4 linked regions of the Kluyveromyces lactis genome follow. The protein of the gene in region 3 purifies or fractionates together with the protein of the main gene of each other region. This does not show direct contact. Links are inferred from orthologs where the notes say so. Each region holds a gene or a part of one and is shown on either strand. Other genes may lie near its edges.

Evidence for each region. Proteins that work in one complex are often made in the same cells at the same time.
Region 1: the proteins of GCD11 (region 3) and GCD1 purify together in Saccharomyces cerevisiae (affinity purification with mass spectrometry; 9 studies listed by BioGRID, with this or other methods). This does not show direct contact. The link is inferred for Kluyveromyces lactis from reciprocal best matches to the Saccharomyces cerevisiae genes GCD11 and GCD1.
Region 2: the proteins of GCD11 (region 3) and GCD2 purify together in Saccharomyces cerevisiae (affinity purification with mass spectrometry; 5 studies listed by BioGRID, with this or other methods). This does not show direct contact. The link is inferred for Kluyveromyces lactis from reciprocal best matches to the Saccharomyces cerevisiae genes GCD11 and GCD2.
Region 4: the proteins of GCD11 (region 3) and GCD6 purify together in Saccharomyces cerevisiae (affinity purification with mass spectrometry; 8 studies listed by BioGRID, with this or other methods). This does not show direct contact. The link is inferred for Kluyveromyces lactis from reciprocal best matches to the Saccharomyces cerevisiae genes GCD11 and GCD6.

Annotation. Positions count from the first base shown.
Region 1 is NC_006039.1:829,868-834,772, forward strand, and holds GCD1 (translation initiation factor eIF2B subunit gamma), read right to left. Parts: upstream 2,755-4,905; coding exon 1,270-2,754; downstream 1-1,269. Other genes in the region: COX10 (protoheme IX farnesyltransferase), read left to right, coding at 1-1,017; proteasome regulatory particle base subunit RPT4, read left to right, coding at 3,194-4,498; HNT3 (DNA 5'-adenosine monophosphate hydrolase), read right to left, coding at 4,595-4,905. UniProt on the Saccharomyces cerevisiae protein: Acts as a component of the translation initiation factor 2B (eIF2B) complex, which catalyzes the exchange of GDP for GTP on the eukaryotic initiation factor 2 (eIF2) complex gamma subunit.
Region 2 is NC_006042.1:773,013-778,202, reverse strand, and holds GCD2 (translation initiation factor eIF2B subunit delta), read right to left. Parts: upstream 3,079-5,190; coding exon 1,270-3,078; downstream 1-1,269. Other genes in the region: MRPL51 (mitochondrial 54S ribosomal protein mL43), read left to right, coding at 631-1,059; mitochondrial 37S ribosomal protein mS44 MRP13, read right to left, coding at 3,518-4,483; KLLA0_F08283g (uncharacterized protein), read left to right, coding at 4,872-5,190. UniProt on the Saccharomyces cerevisiae protein: Acts as a component of the translation initiation factor 2B (eIF2B) complex, which catalyzes the exchange of GDP for GTP on the eukaryotic initiation factor 2 (eIF2) complex gamma subunit.
Region 3 is NC_006040.1:897,059-901,926, forward strand, and holds GCD11 (translation initiation factor eIF2 subunit gamma), read right to left. Parts: upstream 2,801-4,868; coding exon 1,238-2,800; downstream 1-1,237. Other genes in the region: GTPase-activating protein SST2, read left to right, coding at 1-1,100; leucine-responsive transcriptional regulator LEU3, read right to left, coding at 3,268-4,868. UniProt on the Saccharomyces cerevisiae protein: As a subunit of eukaryotic initiation factor 2 eIF2, involved in the early steps of protein synthesis.
Region 4 is NC_006037.1:382,006-387,465, forward strand, and holds GCD6 (translation initiation factor eIF2B catalytic subunit epsilon), read right to left. Parts: upstream 3,481-5,460; coding exon 1,270-3,480; downstream 1-1,269. Other genes in the region: Rho family GTPase CDC42, read right to left, coding at 238-813; MSS4 (1-phosphatidylinositol-4-phosphate 5-kinase), read right to left, coding at 5,001-5,460. UniProt on the Saccharomyces cerevisiae protein: Acts as a catalytic component of the translation initiation factor 2B (eIF2B) complex, which catalyzes the exchange of GDP for GTP on eukaryotic initiation factor 2 (eIF2) and is regulated by phosphorylated eIF2.

The DNA of each region.
Region 1 (4,905 bases), on a different chromosome or scaffold from region 3:
CAAAGGAAGCAGATAAAGGAATCCAAGGCCAGAGTAGAGCCTCGCCCCGAGGTCTCTTTGAAGAAAACATATATCGAGCCTTATCTACAGTTGTCGAAACCTAGACTTACAGTTTTAGTGATGTTGAGCGCAATATGTTCGTACGCACTATCACCATATCCAGCTACAGTCTTGCAACTATTATCATTGACTGTGGGTACCACCTTGTGTTCAGCATCTGCCAATGCCATAAATATGGGCCGTGAGCCTGATTTCGATCGTCAAATGATTAGAACGCAGGCCAGACCTGTTGTTAGAGGAATAGTATCACCAAATCAAGCATTCAAATTTGCTACTGCGGCAGGTACCCTCGGTACATCTATTTTATGGTTAGGTGTTAATCCAACGGTGGCCTTCCTTGGTTTTTCCAACATCGCTTTATATGCATGGTTATACACTTCATTAAAAAGGAAACACATAATTAACACATGGGTTGGAGCACTTGTCGGTGCAATTCCTCCTCTAATGGGGTGGGCTGCATCTTCTCCATTATCCCATCCTGGTGCATGGTGTCTTGCTGGGTTGTTATACGCATGGCAATTCCCACATTTCAATACGTTAAGTCACAACATCAGGAATGAGTACAAGAACGCGGGATACGTCATGACTGCATGGAAGAATCCAAAGCTTAATGCTCGTGTAGCTCTGCGATACTCACTTCTGATGTTCCCATTATGTTTTGGTCTTTCATACTTCAATGTCACCGACTGGTATTATCAATTGGATTCAGCATTTGTTAATGCTTGGATGTCACTATGGGCATTCAAGTTTTATTTCCAGCAAAAGCGTAATTACTCCAAGGAGATATACAATAACAAGACAGAATTCAACAAAGGGTTGGCAATGGCCAACGTTTATGCGAGGAGAACATTCTGGGTCAGTGTACTACATTTGCCGGCAGTATTGATTTTAGCAATTTTGCATAAAAAGGACCGTTGGGACTGGCTCTTTGAAGATAAGAAACAACTCTCAGCATAATTTCACACATTCATTCAACATCAGGAAAATCTTACTTGTGAATAGTAATTTATTATTATGTATTTAATTCAGAACGAAAATCATCAATTATTTTGTAAACATAAACTGTAAATATTCAGAAATCCGTTCAAGAAGTTTACACAAGCTCAGAAGATTAGTTATCAGATTTCTATAATTATTAAGGTACACATGGTACGGCTATTTGATCATGATATATGCAAAAATACTCTATTTATAATAATTTACCGAAGTTCAACGGTCGAAGAGTCCATCATCAACATAATCCTCATCGTCATAATATTCATCAGTGTAATCAGACTCGGATCCAGATGAATCTGAATCCAGTAAAGAGGATGCGTAATCTTCGTCATCTATGTAAATACTTGTCAAAGTTTCACCCTTGAGAGTGGATTTTTCATTGACAATATAAGAGCCCTCAACATAACAATTTGTAAGCTTTGATTTCTTGCCGATTTTTGCATTTCTACCGATGATGACATTTTCTAGCTGGGTTTCATCATCAATTTCAACATTATCAAGCACAACACACCCAACGATACGGCATCGCTTTCCTACTTTACAATTGTCACCGAGGACCGAACGTTTAATATTGGTTTTCTCCAAAATTGCACAATTGTTACCAACCATAGAATCTGCACCGATAGCAGAAGAACCATCAGTAGTGCGTTGTTGAATCGCCGTTTGTTTAATCTTCAAAACGTACCTATTGGATTCCATGTATGCACTCAAACTGTTTGATCTGATAAATAATCCGATTTCAGGTAACACGAAGATACCTATAGTTTCTCTGGGTTTCACATGCTGCCACGAACGCCTAGACAAATCCCTGAATAGCTTGCCTAGCGATTTATTACAGTTTATTGGATCTTTGATTAATTTCTTCTTTCCCTTCAAGAAAGACGTGTTCTGGAATGATGTGGCCAAAGAATCAACGGCTTCCGAATCAGAGTCTAATTCTCCAGCACCTTTCTCGGTTTCATCCTTCAATAGGTTTACTAACTCATGAGAGCAAAAGTAAATGAAGGAGTTCAGTAATTTTGTGGATACAGAGGAGTTCGGATATCTCCAAAGCATTTGGGATCTGATTTGTAAATATTTCGTTTTGTCCACATCGTCTTTGGAATAAACGTCTAGAAGAACGGGCTTACTAACAGACTCCAAATTCTCGGAGTATACAGTCAGGAATTGCTTTAAATGCTTCTTATCGATATTCTCAAACCCATTGTGATAATATACTGCCATAGCTAGATTCTCCGGATCTTTATTCAAATACTGATCTAAAAACACCTGTGGTGGAATGTCTGTGATGAAATCACAAGGTAACAACACGAAATCTCCAGTTATCTTATCTAGCAATTCATTCTTCAGACATTCTCCTGTATTCTCACATTTTGAGGGTATAATATTAATAGGAGATGGTTTTTTCAAATAGTGAGCATGGTTCGATCCAACGCTTTGGGATAACAGTCCAAAATAATGCCCTCTCACTTCACGGTATTTTTTCAAACTTTCCTCTAATTCGTCAGCATCGGATGCGTCAATAACTAGATTGACCTCTTTAAATTGGGCTTGCTCACACCAATCTAGTACGAACTCAATCATGGAGCGGTTTGCAACCGGCAATAGAGCTTTGGGAACACCAGTGTCTCCACGAACATTGGAAAACGGTGTTAGCTTCGCACCACGTCCACAGAATATAAAAGCTTGAAAATCCATTGTTCTGTACTATTCTGGGAATATTAAACTGTCTTATCTGGAGATCAACGCATCAATAAAACGTAGAACCCACTATATATCTTCAAACTGTACCGTGGCAGGTCATCATCCTACGTGATGCTTAGGTTAGTCAATACTCCATCTTATATTGAAAAGCTTTATTCCTGAAAATTTCAAAATCGTGCGTAATGATCTCCCTTTCTATTTAGTAGATTCCGAATGCTTTTGCCACCATTCAATCTAGTAACCCATAGTCCAAATGAAGAGAATAGGTAAGAAAGGCCAAATCCAACCAATTGAGTTGAGTCAATCCATTATAACAGTACTAGTCCAACCAGGAAGGAATACTGACAGAATAAAGGTACGGGATTTTTCTCCTTTCATATTGAGAAGCAGGAATAGGAAGATTAAGCTAGTCTGATCAGAATAAATACTAAAGATGTCTCAAGAACAGGATCCTTTACTAGCAGCAATGGAAGAAAACGATGGTGATGACACTAACGGAGCTGGTACCAACTCTAATTCGGGAGAAAATAACGCTGCCGCACCTGAAACGGTGGAGCCTGTGGATCCAGAACAGGCTGCAAAGGAAAAAGCGATGTTACATTTTAAGAAAAGACTTATGGAACACAGACGATACGACGATATGTTGAAGCAACGCAGAGAAACCATACGGGTACTAGAAGCAGAATATGAGAGAACAGAACAGGATATCAAGGCGTTACAGTCGATTGGCCAACTCATTGGGGAAGTTATGAAGGAACTTTCCGAGGAAAAATACATTGTAAAAGCGTCATCAGGTCCTCGTTATATTGTGGGTGTGAGGAACTCCGTTGATCGTTCCAAGCTAAAGAAGGGTGTCAGAGTCACACTTGATATTACTACATTAACTATTATGAGAATTTTACCTAGAGAAACTGACCCATTAGTTTATAATATGACCACTTTTGAACAAGGTGAAATCTCTTTTGATGGTATCGGTGGTCTTACGGAACAGATCAGAGAATTGAGAGAAGTCATTGAGCTTCCACTAAAGAACCCAGAAATTTTCGAGAGAGTGGGAATCAAACCACCTAAGGGTGTGTTACTATATGGTCCTCCTGGTACTGGTAAGACTTTATTGGCTAAGGCAGTTGCTGCAACTATCGGTGCCAACTTTATCTTCTCCCCAGCATCCGGTATTGTAGATAAATACATCGGTGAATCAGCACGTATCATTAGAGAAATGTTTGCATACGCCAAAGAACATGAACCTTGTATCATCTTTATGGACGAAATAGATGCTATCGGTGGACGTAGATTTAGCGAAGGTACCTCAGCAGATCGTGAAATTCAACGTACATTGATGGAACTATTAACTCAGATGGATGGTTTCGACAACTTAGGACAAACGAAAGTTATTATGGCTACGAATAGACCTGACACTTTAGATCCTGCTTTACTAAGACCTGGTAGATTGGACAGAAAAATCGAAATCAGTTTACCAAATGAGGCAGGAAGATTAGAAATCTTCAAGATTCATACATCCAATGTAAAAAAAGCTGGAGAATTTGACTTTGAAGCTGCAGTCAAGATGAGTGATGGATTTAACGGTGCGGATATCCGTAACTGTATAACTGAAGCAGGGTTCTTCGCTATCAGGGACGACCGCGATTATATAAACCAGGAAGATCTAATGAAAGCCGTGAGAAAGGTTGCCGAAGTCAAGAAGCTCGAAGGCAAGCTTGAATATCAAAAGTTGTAATGAATATACACACTTGTTTAGGCATCTCAAGTAGATTCATAATTTTAAGATTAAAAACCAACCACTATAGTATAAGCGCTAAAATTGTTGCCGTAATTATGAATCATTAGTAAATCTATTAAACGATGAAATAGCCCTATCTGCAGTTATTAAACCTTTTTTTGACACGAAACGCATATTAAACTCATCTGCTAGATGCTCCTTAAGCTTTGCAAACCGATTCTTGAAGTTAGTGGAACAATAGGGGCATATCATCTCAAAGTTCTTGATATACCTTTCGGATAGCTCCTTGTCACCAGGCAAGTCCAACACAGGTAGTTCATCCCATGGTATAAAGAACGGGGAGTTGAAAGAGTTGAAATGCTTTTTGTGCTTTAATTTCTTACTATGGAAATCTCTTGTCATGA
Region 2 (5,190 bases), on a different chromosome or scaffold from region 3:
AATGACGCATGTGCATAATTTTTTTAACAAATTACTAGTGTGCATCCAACATACGCTAGGTGTCAATCCGTACATTCCATGGGTGAACGCAAATCAGGCCCTTTATTTAATTAACCTCATATGAAGCCTTTGGGACATCTTGGATCAGAATCTGGGGCCTCTATCGTACTTTCTATGGATTTGCTCAGTAAAAGTACCCTTAACCAAACGCTGGTAGTGCATTATTGTCATAACCCATCGACAGATCATCAAGTTTACATGACGTATGACATCTCATGAGGATGTGTTGACATAGCAATGTGAAAGAAACAGAATATAGTCGGAAAGAGGTTCTGTATTATTTACATTCGTCACCTTATAGCAGTGTTGGTACCAGTATCTTTTTCATTTGTGTGAGCATGTGGTGAATTGTCCTCCTACCTTCGAATACATACAGATTTGTTCACGTGACTGATGGTCTTTTGAAATTGGAAAAAAATAATCATGAACTGAAAACTCGAATAAAACTCAAAAGATATATTAGTGAATCTATGTTCTGCATCTGAAGGATCTCTCCACAGTTTCAAAATACACCCAACTTGTTTTCTAATCAGAGCTGGTACCCGCGGTCATAAAGATTTCTCTGAAGTAATGGTTGTTAAAGTTTTGAGACAAACTTCTATCGCAAGAAATGGTGTTGGCGCTTTTGTGCTTCCATGTAAAAAGATCACTTTGCAATACTGTAATTGGGGTGGTTCCTCACAGGGTTTGAGAGATTTCCTAACGTCTAACAGAATGATTCAATGGGCTGAAAAATATCCAACAATACAGTTCGAAATAGTAAGAAAGTCTGGCCATCCAGTTATAAAAGGTGACTATGTTAATGGCCGTAATAAAGCCATCTGCGTAAAAAATCTGAACATTGATAATGTAGAGAATAAGTTAAAACTAATCAGAGACGCATCTGGTGAGCAACTCCGTCACAGAACTAAGAACGACAATGTGGATACTTTGAACGATAGTGTGAGAGGTATCTGGTCTCCACTACATTTAAGCCCAGCCATCAGACACAAGGTTTGAATCGAAAAAATGACTTGTGAATGGTAATATCGAGATCATAGCTTAACTTGTACATATATATAGCAATATCCTCGATGAAGCCGATACCTAAGTAAACAACCTACGATGTTGAATATTACTACGCAATTAATAAAAAAGAAGATCTATACTAATTTTTCATTTACTATATTATATGATATTATCGTATATTATATATGCAAAGGGCTCCATTCAAGCTGATGCTTTGTATTCTCTAAGAACCACGGGAACAGAAGATGGTGGCAACGAACCAAATTCTGTAATGATCTTCTTGATGTAGTCAGGGGGTGTTAAATCGTACATTATATTGAAGATGTGCAAATTAGGTGATTTCTCCCACTCTGCTAGTATTGGTTTATCCTTGACATTCTTACCTTCGTCGGCAGTAGCATTATTGGTATTAGCACTGCCAGATTTATTATTTTGCTTAGAGCTATTCTCGACTTCCTTCTGCTGCGCTTCACGCTCTTTGATAAATTGCTGTAATAAGAACCCATTGTTGTTACGTCTCTGTACAGGATTAGCAGAGTCAATGGTTACCAAATCGTTTGGATCAGCAAGTTCATTAGATGTGACACTATCAAGCTGTACCCTTTGAGAGAACTTTAAAGACTCACAGCATACAAGTACAGGAATATTTCTTCTGCTTGCCAACATAGCGATCTGAGCAGTACCGACTCTTGAATATAGGAAACCATTTGAAAGAATCGAATGCGCTCCCAAAAACACATATTTGATATCCATATTGAATACGGTACCCAATGCTGTAATGGGAACATACAAAACATTAAGACCTTGATTTCTCAAAGATTCTGCCATTTTACGACCCTCAAACAAAGGTCTACTGTCCACTATAACAATTTGGAAGTTCTTACCGAAATTTATGGCGTTGTGTAGGAATAAATCAGTTAAAACCTTGGAACAGCCATAGGTCAATATAGTGCTGCCTTCTTCAATATGTTGTGAAGCTGTTTCAATGATAAGTTGATCAGCCAACTGCACTCTTTCTCTAGCGAACTGTGCAATCTTATCACAAAGTTCTTTTTTGGCCTTTGAATCCGGTGTTGAAGGATCGATTAGAGAGATTTCTTGCTTCAACCATCTAATGGCATTACCCATGGTTACACTCAATGGTCTTGACTTCTTCAAGAAATCAATTTGATGGGACAGGTAACTTGTCAAATTACGTGAAAGAGTAGTACCTTCTGGAGTCTTGTAGTCTCTGACAACCAGTTGGAATGCCTCTAACATGGCAATACAACGAGGAATGGAACCTATAATTTTATAGAATGCATAATCCAAAGTCAGAGAGGTGATAGCGGGATGTAACATTTCGCGATTGGCAATCAATTCTTTTACAGAGGCAATCGATTGTTGATTTGTAAATTGTGAAGTCATGGTATTTGGAATGACGGATGATATTCCTGGGACAAATGAAGACGATTCATCAAGGGACAAGGAATTTAGCATTTGATGGGCTTCAAAATCTTCTGAATGAGCCAAACCTGCCAAATTAGTATTGCTTCCAGAAAGGTTTGAACTCAAAGGAGATGCAGACATTGGTTGGGAAACCGCAACCGCGGGTGTAGTAGCAAGTAAAGGCAATACTAACCCATTAGCAGTAATCCTTGAGGTACCTGTAGAAGTGATAGCACTCGAAACTGCAAGTAAAGAAGCTCTTCTTTCTTCAGCAGTCTCTAGATGACCAAATAGAGTCGACTTCTTGGTATCATGTTTGACCGGGTCGGCTGCTTTATTCTTTTTTGCAGCTAAGAGATCTCTTTGTTGCTGCTTCTTTTCACGCTTAGCAGCAGCTTGCTGCTGCTGTTTTTCAATAGAGATACCACTAGCTTGCTTACTGGCTGCTCTCTTTGCAGCCTTCTCCTTCTTTTTCAGTTCCTTCAACTCTTTATTAGATAAAGGTTTTTCTCCTTCTTGTGCATTTGCCGTCTTTTCAGTATTAGTTTCTTTCCCTGAAGCCTCCTTAGCTCCTCCTGTCATTATTGGTGATTTGATACCTCAAAGTATACCGTTATTTGCCAATAGATTTCCGTTGGATCACAGGAACTGCGAGATCATCGATTGGTATTTATGTCAGCTTTTGAATAATTTCACCAAAATTGAAATTCTTAAAAAGAATGATGGAAAACTCGTTGACGGTGATTTCCTTGCAGATCGAACAAACTCAGTGCCCGAGTTGGCTAGCGGGAGTGACATGGTACCAGGCGCTAATTGACGAACATTTACTCAATTTGCGATGAATCCGTGACGGCACATCAATAATTATATAATAGAAGTATATTGTGTGAGTTTCTTTATGAATTATGGTCATTTTGTTAATGTTTTTTGAATTTCTAGTAATATTCTTAACTGACGTTGATTCTTATATATATATACATGAACGGTTCTGGGAAATATTGGTTACGGATAAGTCTATCCTTTATTTCGTTTCTTCTGCTTGTGCATCTGCATGAGCTTCTTCTGTCGTTTCAGATTCAGTAGCCTTTTGAGTTAACAGCTGTTTGTATTGGGATACGTATTTGTCGTAAATGTCAGCAACCGAGTTTTGCGCTAAAACGGCTTGATAGTTTTCAACAAACTGTTGCAGCTTAGCTTCAGTTGAGCCGAAGTCTAATGCTGTTCTGCTCAACAAATACTGGGTGGTGTTCTTTGTCAAGAAAGTCCTTAATTGATTTTGGCTTGCAGTGCTAACATCGATCGATGGCAAGTTAATTTCAATATTTCTAGCGAAATTAGGTAATTTCACCTCAACGTTCTGTTGTCTACCCAAAGCTTGAACAATTTCCTTTGTTAAACCAGTTGTATCTTCTCTTTTGGTAACAGTCGATGATAACTTCCTTAGGCCTCTCTCTACCATGCCGGAATCTTGAACGTTTTGGAACGCATTTCTATGCAATTGACACATCAATACAGTATTATACCATACATCTACGTTATAGGCTTCTAATTGCTTTGCTTTCACCAATAATGGCTGTATTTGGTACAGAACATTCAAAACTGCTCCTAAAGCACCAAACTTGAAAGTGGAAGTTAACAACATGTTTTGTAGATGCTGGGGAATCAAATAACTCCAGAACTCTTTCCTTCTAGGTGTGATATTCTTCCAATCTCTAACCATGTTTTCCAACTCTTCAGCTGACGATGCGTTCAATATGACGCTATTGAGAACTGATGCACTTGGTCTTAACACTGATGGTCTAGGTTGAATAGGAAGTTTAGTTTCTGGATCTTTCAAATCCATGGCCAACAAACGGTTAGCATTCTTTTTGCGGTAGATGTATGGTCTTAGAGTCTGTGGTGTCTTGACAAATTGTAAGAAGTTGTCAAAGACCGCACGAGACTCTACACCAGTTGAAACCGATCTTGTGAAAAACCGAGAGAACATTCGCTGCTTTGACTGTTATATGAGGATTAAAATCAGACCTTTGTTCCTACCGCTGGCTTTTTCAACCAAATCAGAGTATTAATTGTGTTACCTCTGCCAATAACCGATGAGTTATCCCAATGATTGCAGCTGATGAAGCGTGTTTTTCTACTGTGATGTGGTGATTCAATCTTCAAGCTTTCCTCTGGCTAGTTTCCGCTCTACATAGAAATGTTGAAAACATGAAATTTTTCAACACGTACAAGATGATATCAAAAACCATATTAAAAACCTGTCTATGCATAAAGACATTGGGGCACTTATGCTTAATTGCAATCATCGATAAGCTGTTCTAAGAAACACTCTTCGCTAATTCCAGCTCCGAAAAGACTAAATAACCAGACCAAACATGAACTCTGTACTGAAAATGAATACTGAGTTGGGATATCAAGAGTATCTCGAGAAAATTACTCTTGAAGCCAATGGTGTAACCAGCGATGAGACGACGTTACACAGCAAGGTGGCAGACATATTTCGAGAAGAAATTGAAGTAAACGGCTGTTTGAGGGAAAGTTTCAATGTTTATGAGGATGTGGATGGCAATATTGAAAAATGGAGAAGTCAAATATGGCTTGAGAGACCAGAAATGTCCGCAGAAGTCCGATACGCATATTTGAAGCACCAGGAATTGTGTCTCGAAAGACTGATATCCAAAACGCTGCCGAAAC
Region 3 (4,868 bases):
ACGGCCTAATTACACCAATCTTATTACCTCCCAGTCAAAACAGCAAGAAAAAGTTTCTAATTTCAAAAACAGCACACTATACATTGACCCAAGCCGGTTGGGACGTAATTCAATGGGGAGTAGATGGGCTACCCAAGATTCCGCATTTCATGGACGGGGTTAAAATCGGAACGGATACTGAGAATTATGGCGGCGTTAATTGCAGCGTAAAACTCTCCAGTCGTTCACTCCCAGGTAATTCTCAGCTCAAAAGCGGACATGATTTTGGAACCAAAAATGTAATGGTGTCGAACTATGATGTAAGCTCGGATTCAAGTTCGAGCTCAGGTACTGGGGACGATAATTATAATCCTGACGGTTTAAAGTTGCTGTCTCTCAAACAAATTCTGGCTGATCCTGGGATGCGATATCTTTTTAGAGAGCATCTTTGCAAAGACATGTGTGCAGAAAACCTAGACGTATACTTTGAAATAACGAAGTTTTTAAAAAGAATGTCGGTTCTGCGAAAACTCATTGAGTCTCGAAACCAGAGCGAACACAATAAGATGGATCTAAGGGAATGGAAAACTGGTGGTAGTACTAAACTGAAAGATACAATTCAATCAGCTCTTTTAAAACAAACTAGCGAATGCCTTTCGCTGGTTTACCATATTTACTCCTCTTATATTGCACTGGGGTCTCCGTATCAACTTAATATTGATCATAACGTTAGAGAAACAATTACTGGAATAATATTCCACCCTCAGTCTCCAACTAAAACTGCGTTCGACACTTCAGGCAAGGAAAATTGTTCAAGAGCCATTTCGGATGCATCTGTTAATAGACCCTTAAGCCTCGATCCTGCTGCCCGGAAGAAATGCGTGGAGCATAAAGTACAATCCCATAGTAACACGTCAATGCCATTGGCGCCGACACCTCTTAATAAGGGTACTGAGTCATACGTCATTATTCATGCTATATCAATGTTGAAGGATTTGTATCAGTTACTGGAAAAAATCAGAAATACCGTATTTATCATGATGAAGAACGACTCTTTGCCCAAATTCCTGGCAACAGAATCGTATAGGGACGCAATTTCATTAATAACTGCTAACAAGTAGAACCTAGGCATTTCATCATGAAGAATAAAGATATTCATCTTGCAAAAGAATGTGGCCTTTTCTACCAAGAAAATGGAACATTAATGTGACAATATATACATATAGACATATATAAAATCATTTAGTTAATTTACAGATTAAGCGATTGGTTCAAGAGTGGTACCCTTCTTGATAGTAGCCCAACCAATTAAACGCCAATGCTTTTCGATACGTCTAGATAATGCAATCTTTTCATTAACTTCTGTACATGCAGGGGAAGTTAATTGTAATCTTGCCATATCGGCTTTGACGGCAACCACACGGGCACCAGTAGCGGTGGAACCGATGTTCACCATTAAAACTTCATTTGGCTCTAACTTTCTAACCTTTGCTTGTTTTTGACCATCGGTCTTTACACCTAATAGACGACGCAATAGGAAGTAGTTAATTTCGATATCGGTGTAGATAGATGGCAAATGGCCCTTAGCACCAACGACTTGACCCACTAGACGATCTGCTCTACATAACGTTGGATCGACCTTAGTACCAACACCAATCAAACCACCTGGAACGGCGAATTTTAGGTCGTTGTGTTCAGCAAATAGGGAAACGATATTGGAGAAAATTGGCTTACATTGAATCTTACCATGATCATCTTTAGTGACGATACCTGGTCTAATTTCGATCTCATCGCCTAATTTGAAAACACCAGTCAAAATGGAACCACCGGCAACACCACCCTTCAAATCTTCGATTTCGGCACCTGGCTTGTTAACATCAAAGGAACGAATGACAATCAATCTCGGAGACGCTAAGAAGTCTCTTTGAGGAACAGGAATACTTTTCACGATGAATTCATTCACAGCATCAATGTTATATTTCAATTGGGCTGAGATTGGAACGATTGGAGCACCATCAGCGATGGTACCTCTAATAAATTTCAAAATAGATTTTTGATGTTCCAGAGCAGAGTCTTCTCTCATTAGATCGACTTTGTTCTGTAAAATGATAACGTGCTTCAACTTCATAATTTCGATAGCAGCCAAATGTTCAGAGGTTTGTGGTTGAGGACAGGATTCGTTACCTGCGATTAGAAGTAGTGCTGCATCCATAACGGCAGCACCAGACAACATGGTAGACATTAAAATATCGTGACCAGGACAATCGACAAAGGAAACATGACGGACTAGTTTATAACGTCCACTGTAACCTGGAAGATCAACCTTTGGTGCAACTTCTTTGTCAGATCTGAAAGACTTATAACAGTCTGGTTCTGGGCATTCTGGATCTTCTGCTTTATAGATTTTGGCATTGGCGTAACCTAATTTAATGGTAATATTACGTTCTAATTCATCCTTGAAACGAACGGTTTGAACACCTGAAATAGCTCTCACAACGGTAGATTTACCGTGAGCGACATGACCGATAGTACCAATATTGATAGTGGCTTGTCTATTGATAATTTCTGGTGATAGAGGGTTCAACTTGGAAAAATCTGGGTTCGTTGGTTGCTCTGGAAGACCACCACCTTCTTCAAATTCTCTCTTTCTACGTTCTTCATCCGCTTCCACATCATCAATCCCACTGAAAGTAACAGTCTTCTTAGGCTTCACTTCATCAAAAACTTGCTCCTCTTCTTCAACCTCAAATGTATCTATTGGCTCATCATTAAGATCCCCATTGATGACAATACTTGGCTCTTGGTTTTGCAAATCAGACATCCTGAACTTTAGGTATTATAAACAATCAGAAAAAACTATCACTAGATATCCTTTTTGATACTTTCCCAAATACTGCACCTGGCCGTTCTATTCTCTGGAATTAAACTCGGTTGCTAACAAGATCTTTATACCTTTACACCTTCATTACTCATCGAGATTAATCATATCCACATATATCTACTCAATTCTGTTGAAACTGATTTCGAATTTGGCATTCTTACAATTCAAAAAAATTTTCGATACAAAGTAACGATTTCGTACAGAAAGAGAAATCTGGTGGTATTTTCGATCACGTGATTATGTTTTAAGTACTTGGAAAATGTGCATAACGACATCTGGTTTTGCTTAGGTTTCTCGCCAGTGACAGGTTAGCAGTTGGTGTCATTTCGCAGTATCAATCTGTTAACCGATGATTTAATTCGTCTTATAATAAGTATTTATAGAAATATATAACCAATAATTTAATATTACAACGTCGGATTGAATGCGAATTCGTTCATTAGAATGTCGACATCTTTCCAAACAAGATCTGATTCCCAGTTGTCCCATCTTTCCGTAAGACCTGGAGAAATTGAGGGCGTATCTTCCTTTCTGTTTTCAGTTCCTTCTGATATTATCGATTTTGTAACGGACTGGAAGGATTGCGGTATTGGTGGCTCCAACAACTCATTTAAGGACTGCGCAGCAGGATTGATCTTTCGAGTCGGTTTACTATGATTTGACGGACTTGAAACCCTAAATTGTGGGGAGTTCGTTTTCTTGGCGGTGGTAGAATGGTTTATGAGTTTATTGTCTGTGACGGCGTTCAAAGGATTTAGAGATCTGGGATAACCGCTAGTTTCAACATTGGAAGCACCAGCATGTGTGTTTGTAGGTGATACTATGATATTGTTGCTAGGGGAAGATGAAGATGGCATTGTACCATTTTTCTGTTTCTGCAAAATCTCGTCCTTTGGGGACGTTTTGTTTAGGATTGATTTCAATGACAAAACGTCACTACTATGTGAACCGTTCGGAGATGTAATATTGCTTCCACTGGACTGCTGTGCATTGATGGGCTCTGGGTCAAGTGGAATGGTAGATATAATCCTTCTGGCATGTTCTTCGGAATACCCATCGTTGGGCAGTAGTTCTTTGGACTCTGCATCTCCGTTATGGTTATCGCCACTATTTTCATCATCAGAGGAGACTGTCTTTTCTCTTTCTCTCTTTAGTTTTGCCATACCGCACTTCTGTCTTAATATGAACAAGCAGTCAAAGAAAACACTCACAGACATTCTAGATCTTATGGTAATACTCAAGTTAAAATCCTTTTCTGACTGTGTTGAAGAGGAACTTTGGTCTTTCTTCGCTTTCCACTCTTCGAACATGTTGCTGAACATGCTCCATATACTTCTCATAATACCAGCTGATCTATAAGCCATATCGTACTTGAGGACAGAAGCATTCGAAATTAATGATACAGCATCTTGATAAACTTCATGACCAGTATCGACATCGATAATTGAGCCCAATGAGGAATGGACTAGCTTTGATATTATTGATGCTGCCTGCCATATATTAAGAACATAAACACCTGGAAGATATTTCACAGCTAGTGGATCCCGTTTCCACATACATTTCGCATGTTTCAAGAGTTTTACGGCTGCATTGTACGCTATTACTAGTCCTCTTTTAGTTGCAAAGCTTGTTTCCATGTCTTTCACAGATATTTTTTGGACGGAAGTTGGATCAACATTATCGGTAACATTGCTAAAATAGTGCGTCAACAAGTGCACCTTCGTTACGAGAAGTAAGAATCTTCTGATATCATCTAATTTCACATTATCAAGCTGTAACTCTAGTTCGCTTAGTTGTCTGTTCAAAACGTGTAATAATGGTAATTTTTCCTCATTGGCAACAAGGCCGCTCATATTACTAGGATTTGAGTTCATAGTATCCACGATTTGATTCTCGAAATGAGCAATTTGTAACATTTGTTTGATGGAAAAAGGTATGAAATCTGTCGTACTACTCTCTACTGTTGAAATCTTGCAGGTATTTATAACGGTATGGTCAAAAGAGACAT
Region 4 (5,460 bases), on a different chromosome or scaffold from region 3:
GATGTTGGTTTAGTGAAATGTAACGCTTTTTCTGGAGATGGGGGGTAGAGCTTTTTTTCTCTTTTGAACCTGCAAAAACTTGGAAACACACTCTCTATCTCACAATCATCTATAAATATAAAACTGGACTTGATGGTGAACGGGAAGATTGTTAAGAACGCTCATCCTTGAGTGAGAAACTTCTTACCTGATACATGTACTGGTAATAAAAAAAAAAAATACAAGGCCGATCACTTTTCACAATATAATACATTTTTTACTCTTTTTAATGACTGGAGGTTCCAGAGCAGCAACAATAGCTTCGTCGAAAACGTTTTTCAAACCACGCTGGGTAAGAGCCGAACATTCAACATATTTTACGGCTCTAAGCTCTCTGGCTAACCTTTCACCTTGCTCTGGAGTGATAGGACGAAGCCTTTGTCTCTGTAGTTTTTCAATAATCACTTTATCATCTCTTAAATCTATCTGAGTACCCACAATCAAACATGGAACACCAGGACAATGATGATGTACTTCTGGGAACCATTTTTCTTTTACGTTCTCAAAAGAAGGAGGAGATATAACACTGAAACAAACCAAGAACACGTCTGTTGATGGGTATGATAACGGTCTTAATCTATCATAATCTTCTTGACCAGCTGTATCGAAAAGACCTAGCGTGTATGGCTCATCGCCAATCATCACCGTAACAGCATAATTGTCGAAAACGGTTGGAACGTAGTCGGCTGGAAACTGGTTAGTTGTGTATGAAATTAGAAGACACGTCTTACCGACAGCACCATCACCTATAACAACACACTTAAGAGTTTGCATGTTTTAAATTCCTTTCTTCCTTGCTTTTATACTACTATCACTGCAGGCCTTTACGGTGTTACTTCCGGCTGACTGTGCTATGTCTAACATCCAATTTGTCTGACTACTCTCCTTCATCACATACATATCTTCGTCCTCCTGTTCTGTTATTTCAATTTTGAAATGGGAATATGTTAATAGATAAGGAAGTTAGGGTAACGTTGTAACGTGACTTGAATTATTTTCAGTCAAACTCTCCCATATAGAATACAGGAAGACCGCATAGGCGGTTGGCAGTCCGGTAGTGAGGACACTAGCCTTGAAATGCGTACGTATATTTGTCTATAGATTACTTTGCATATGGTTATCTCACGTTTACTCGAAATGCTACATGCTACATTATATTGATTGATATTGACCAATCTTGAACTTCGGAGGAACCATGAAAATTCAAAGGGCATTTATGACGTTATTGACTTATTCGTCTTCGTCACTGTCTTCTTCATCAGATGATTCTTCATCTGCAGTCTTTAGCCAGTCCACCCATTTGGCCAGTAGAGCAGTAACTTCGCTGTATTTTGAATCACCGCTTACAGAGTCCCACCATTTGTAAATGACATCTTCCTCTAAGATATCCAAATCATACAAGACATTATATACATGGAATAGAATGAAATCTGGTTTATCGAATTTCTGATCTAGCACACGATCCAGAATGATATTCATTAGATCAATGAACTCATCACTATCAAATGCTTGTCTCTTAAACACAGGACCCCATTGTTGTAAGACTTTAGTGACAGCGTCCTTTGGACCTAGTGTTTGTGTGGCTACAAAGTGGTAAACTCTTCTGAATATAGCGATAACAGAAGCATTCCTGACTTCATGATAAGTGACGTTCATACTCATTCTCAAAGTGTTTAGTTCAAGCATTGATGTGTCTAAATCGTGGTTGTTCTCTATAGCTCTTTCAACTGTTGCGATGGCTTCTTTTTCGAAATCTTCTTCTTCGTCTTCTTCTCCTTCGTAATCAGTATAGATACTAGTCATCGACATGGTTCTCCTCTTTCTATGTTTTTGAGTGATGGATGATATGGAAGTATCCGATAAATAAATGTCATCGTCTCTGTACGTTAATGTGTTCGCAATACCCTTTTCGGTCGATCCATCTTCATCTTCATCCTCATCATCACTTTCGTATAGTACGCCTCTCCCGTTTGGCCCAACCAACTGCTTAGATAGTTTAATCTTCGCATCGGCAACTTCATCGGAATTACTGATTGATAAAGAAGATGAATTTCTGGTGAATGTGCTTCCTTCTTCGTCCTCATCGCTGGAAGAAAGATTATGTGCTGTATCTAAGAATTGAGCTGTGTTCCTCTGTACTGGAACCGCTGAAATCTTGGTTCCAACTGGGATTGTAACATTATCGTCAATCACTACATTGAATCCGATAATGGAACCATCATTCAAGGTGACGTTTGATCCTAATTTAACATCTGAAGCAACTAAAGAGTGCTCAATTGTAGTGTTATCATCAATGACAACATTGTCCCAAATGTAACTGTTTTTGATTCTGATGTTTGAGCCAATTTTACAATTTCTACCAACAACACTATTTTCAATGACTGTACCTTCTCCAATCTTGGATCCTGAGCCGATGGCCGTGTTTTTCTTTATCTTACAGGACTGCGCTAATACCACGTCTTTTTCCTTATAAATGTGTTGGCTTTCGTATGAATAAGTTTGGCCCTTTAAAAGGTTGGCATTAAGAACCAATGGGTAACACCATCTAGCAATAAAATCTTGCGAGATAGCATCATACGTTTGCCAACTTTCTGCTCTAGTGGTGTATTCGTCGGTAATGTACCCGTAGATATGTTTCTTCAACAAATCACTAGAAAGCACACCTCTAACAAAATCTCTTCTCAAGAATTGGTAATCGAAATTCTCTTGGAAAATAGCAGGGACATGAGGAGAACAGATATCTACATGGCAATCAATCAAATCGTTGCGTAACACAAACTCGTCAACACCTTCCAGAAGTTCAGGATCAATATCAATGGTAGTTTTTTCTCTAGAGCTAGCCAATGGGATATCCTGGTAGTAAATACATCTATCATTAGACTTATCAAAAATGAACGTTGCTGGTTCATGAGACCTTGTCTTATGAAACTGAGTCGCTTTACTTAGGCACATAGTGACAATATGATCCTTATCAGCCTTTCTCCTTTGTTTATGAATATCTAAAGCCTTTTCAAAGTCCATATTAGTCACCAAATCACCACTAACAAGTACGAAATCACCGGTAATTAGCCCACGGTTATCGACATCTCTCATTGCATCTCCAACAGATCTGGACTCTAGCGACATGATGGTATTCACCTTAAACGGAGCCCATGGTAAACTCCATTTGGACTGATCGATATATTCCTGGATCTGTTCACCATGCGATGCACAAATCAGATAAACTTCGTTGACTCCGGCCTTAGCTAAGAACTCCAAAGTATATTCAATCAAGGGAATGTTGGCCAACGGCAACAAACATCTTGGTTTCACCGAAGTCAAAGGCATAAACCTAGTCTCAAACGAGTCAGTCAAAACAATCGCTTGTAAACGTTCATCTTGAACAACCTCTTGTTTCTTATTCTGATTGGCTTTACCAGATTTGGTCTTCTTTCCACTCATCTTTCGATTGTAAATTACGGGAAACTCTGGAAACAAAAAAAGCTTAAATGAGTACAAGTATACTATTAATAAACAGGGTACCTTTTTCCCCGTTCTAACCAAAAGACTAAGCGTTTCCAGAGCGATAAAGTTGGATGATTTTCTCTTCTCGATAAACTCATCATCATGTGTAATATGTAATTAATTGATTGTTCAATATTCAAATTTCATGTCATTTCTCACTTTCAATTTGAAAATAAGGAAGAACCAAGACAAGAAAAAAATTTCAGATACAACGCTCTGCGTGAATTTCTGTGTAAAAATCAGAATCATCATAGTAACCCATAAAAAAAAGATAGTTGAAATATGAGAAAAAAATAGATGCCCCTGGTGGGGTTTGAACCCACGACTATCGCGTTGCTTTGAAACGACCTTTTGAAGGGCCAATTTTCATAGAATGTTCCATATTGATTGGAGTCACACTATAAGCACGATGCTCTAAACCACTGAGCTACAGGGGCTTCAATGATGTCTTATTTGCTTTTGTTGATGTTTATATTCTGCGAACCAATAATTTTTTTTACCAAAAGAAGGCATACCTTGAACCATAATGAACACACAATTGGCCCTTCAATAAACCATTAATTGAATTAGCAGAGGTTCTTTGAACTTTTGTTTAGAATATCATTCCTATTTAGAGGTTTATTATAAAATTTACCTAGCAGCAAACATTACATAGAGTATCAATCAAACACCAACATAACAAACATTTACAGCATGTTCCTAGGCAGCTGGAACGTTCTCTCGGAGGAGGTTGCTGTACATACACAGGCTGTTGTTGGGCGTAGTAGCCTTGCTGTGGCTGGTTGTGATTTCTCATAGTATTAATTTTTTTAGTGATAGTTCTTCAGAATAGGGTCTTTCAGTTTCCTATTGGTATTAGAACAGTACGGCTAACACAACAGACCTATTGATTCACTTGAGTGGAGTTGGCAAAGAACTTATACAATTAAAACCCAACATGCTTCAAGTGACATTATATATCAAAAAAAAAATATCAACAATATACAGTCCGAGTAAATGATGGATCGAGTTCTTGCTTATATATATTTTGTATGTGGAGTCGACGTAATTGTTGTACCTTATTTTTAACTGCTTTAAGTGATATTTTTGTTATCACTGCCATTTCCATGAGGCTTCCGCTATTCGACATTTTTTTTTGATTTTTGGGTTTTTTTTTTGCTTTGCTTTTAAACAATAAGCATGAAAGCAGTGCGACAGATATTAAGTTTAGTACGAAACGTAAGTTTAATTATGTAAGTGCACACATTGATTAACACATTCTATCTTAATATGGATAAGTAGAGAAAAGAATTATAGTAACTAAATCAAATAGTGGAAGAATTTCTGGAAGTGTAGGGTCCGTATGGCGTACGTATAAGATTTGGTTTAGGTAAAGATTTGACAGCCCATGAAGTAAATTTGAAATACGTCATTTTTAATTGTATTAGAGAATAATTTGAGCAGCAGCTTGTCAGATATCAGTCGTGATATCCTGGCTGTTGTTGATTTTCGTCGTAATGTTTATTAACTGAATTTTCAATGAAATGGTAAAATCTGTCGCCGTAAACTTTGGGTGGAACAGCACTTACCACTTTCAAATCGTGATTCATACTTCTCCAAAGTGTTTCCATTCTCTTGAGCATCGAGTAGTTCGTCAAACAATCAATAATTCCTACGAAATATATTTGGTTTAAGTCATTGTTGAATTGATCTGAGGCTCTAATACCGCCTTCGTCTTGTTGGAAGAAATGCTTCACTACCTGTGTGTTGTTGATAGGTGGATTCACTGAGTGATGAGTATGACGTCGATGATGATGGCTCTTATGTTGATGAATAGTTCTCCTAGAACTTTGACTTGGAAGTAGATTTGGCATCGCATTTGAGTCTTCTAGAGGATCAACGAGGTCGTTCTTGTTCCCCTCTTCAATCAAATCATTG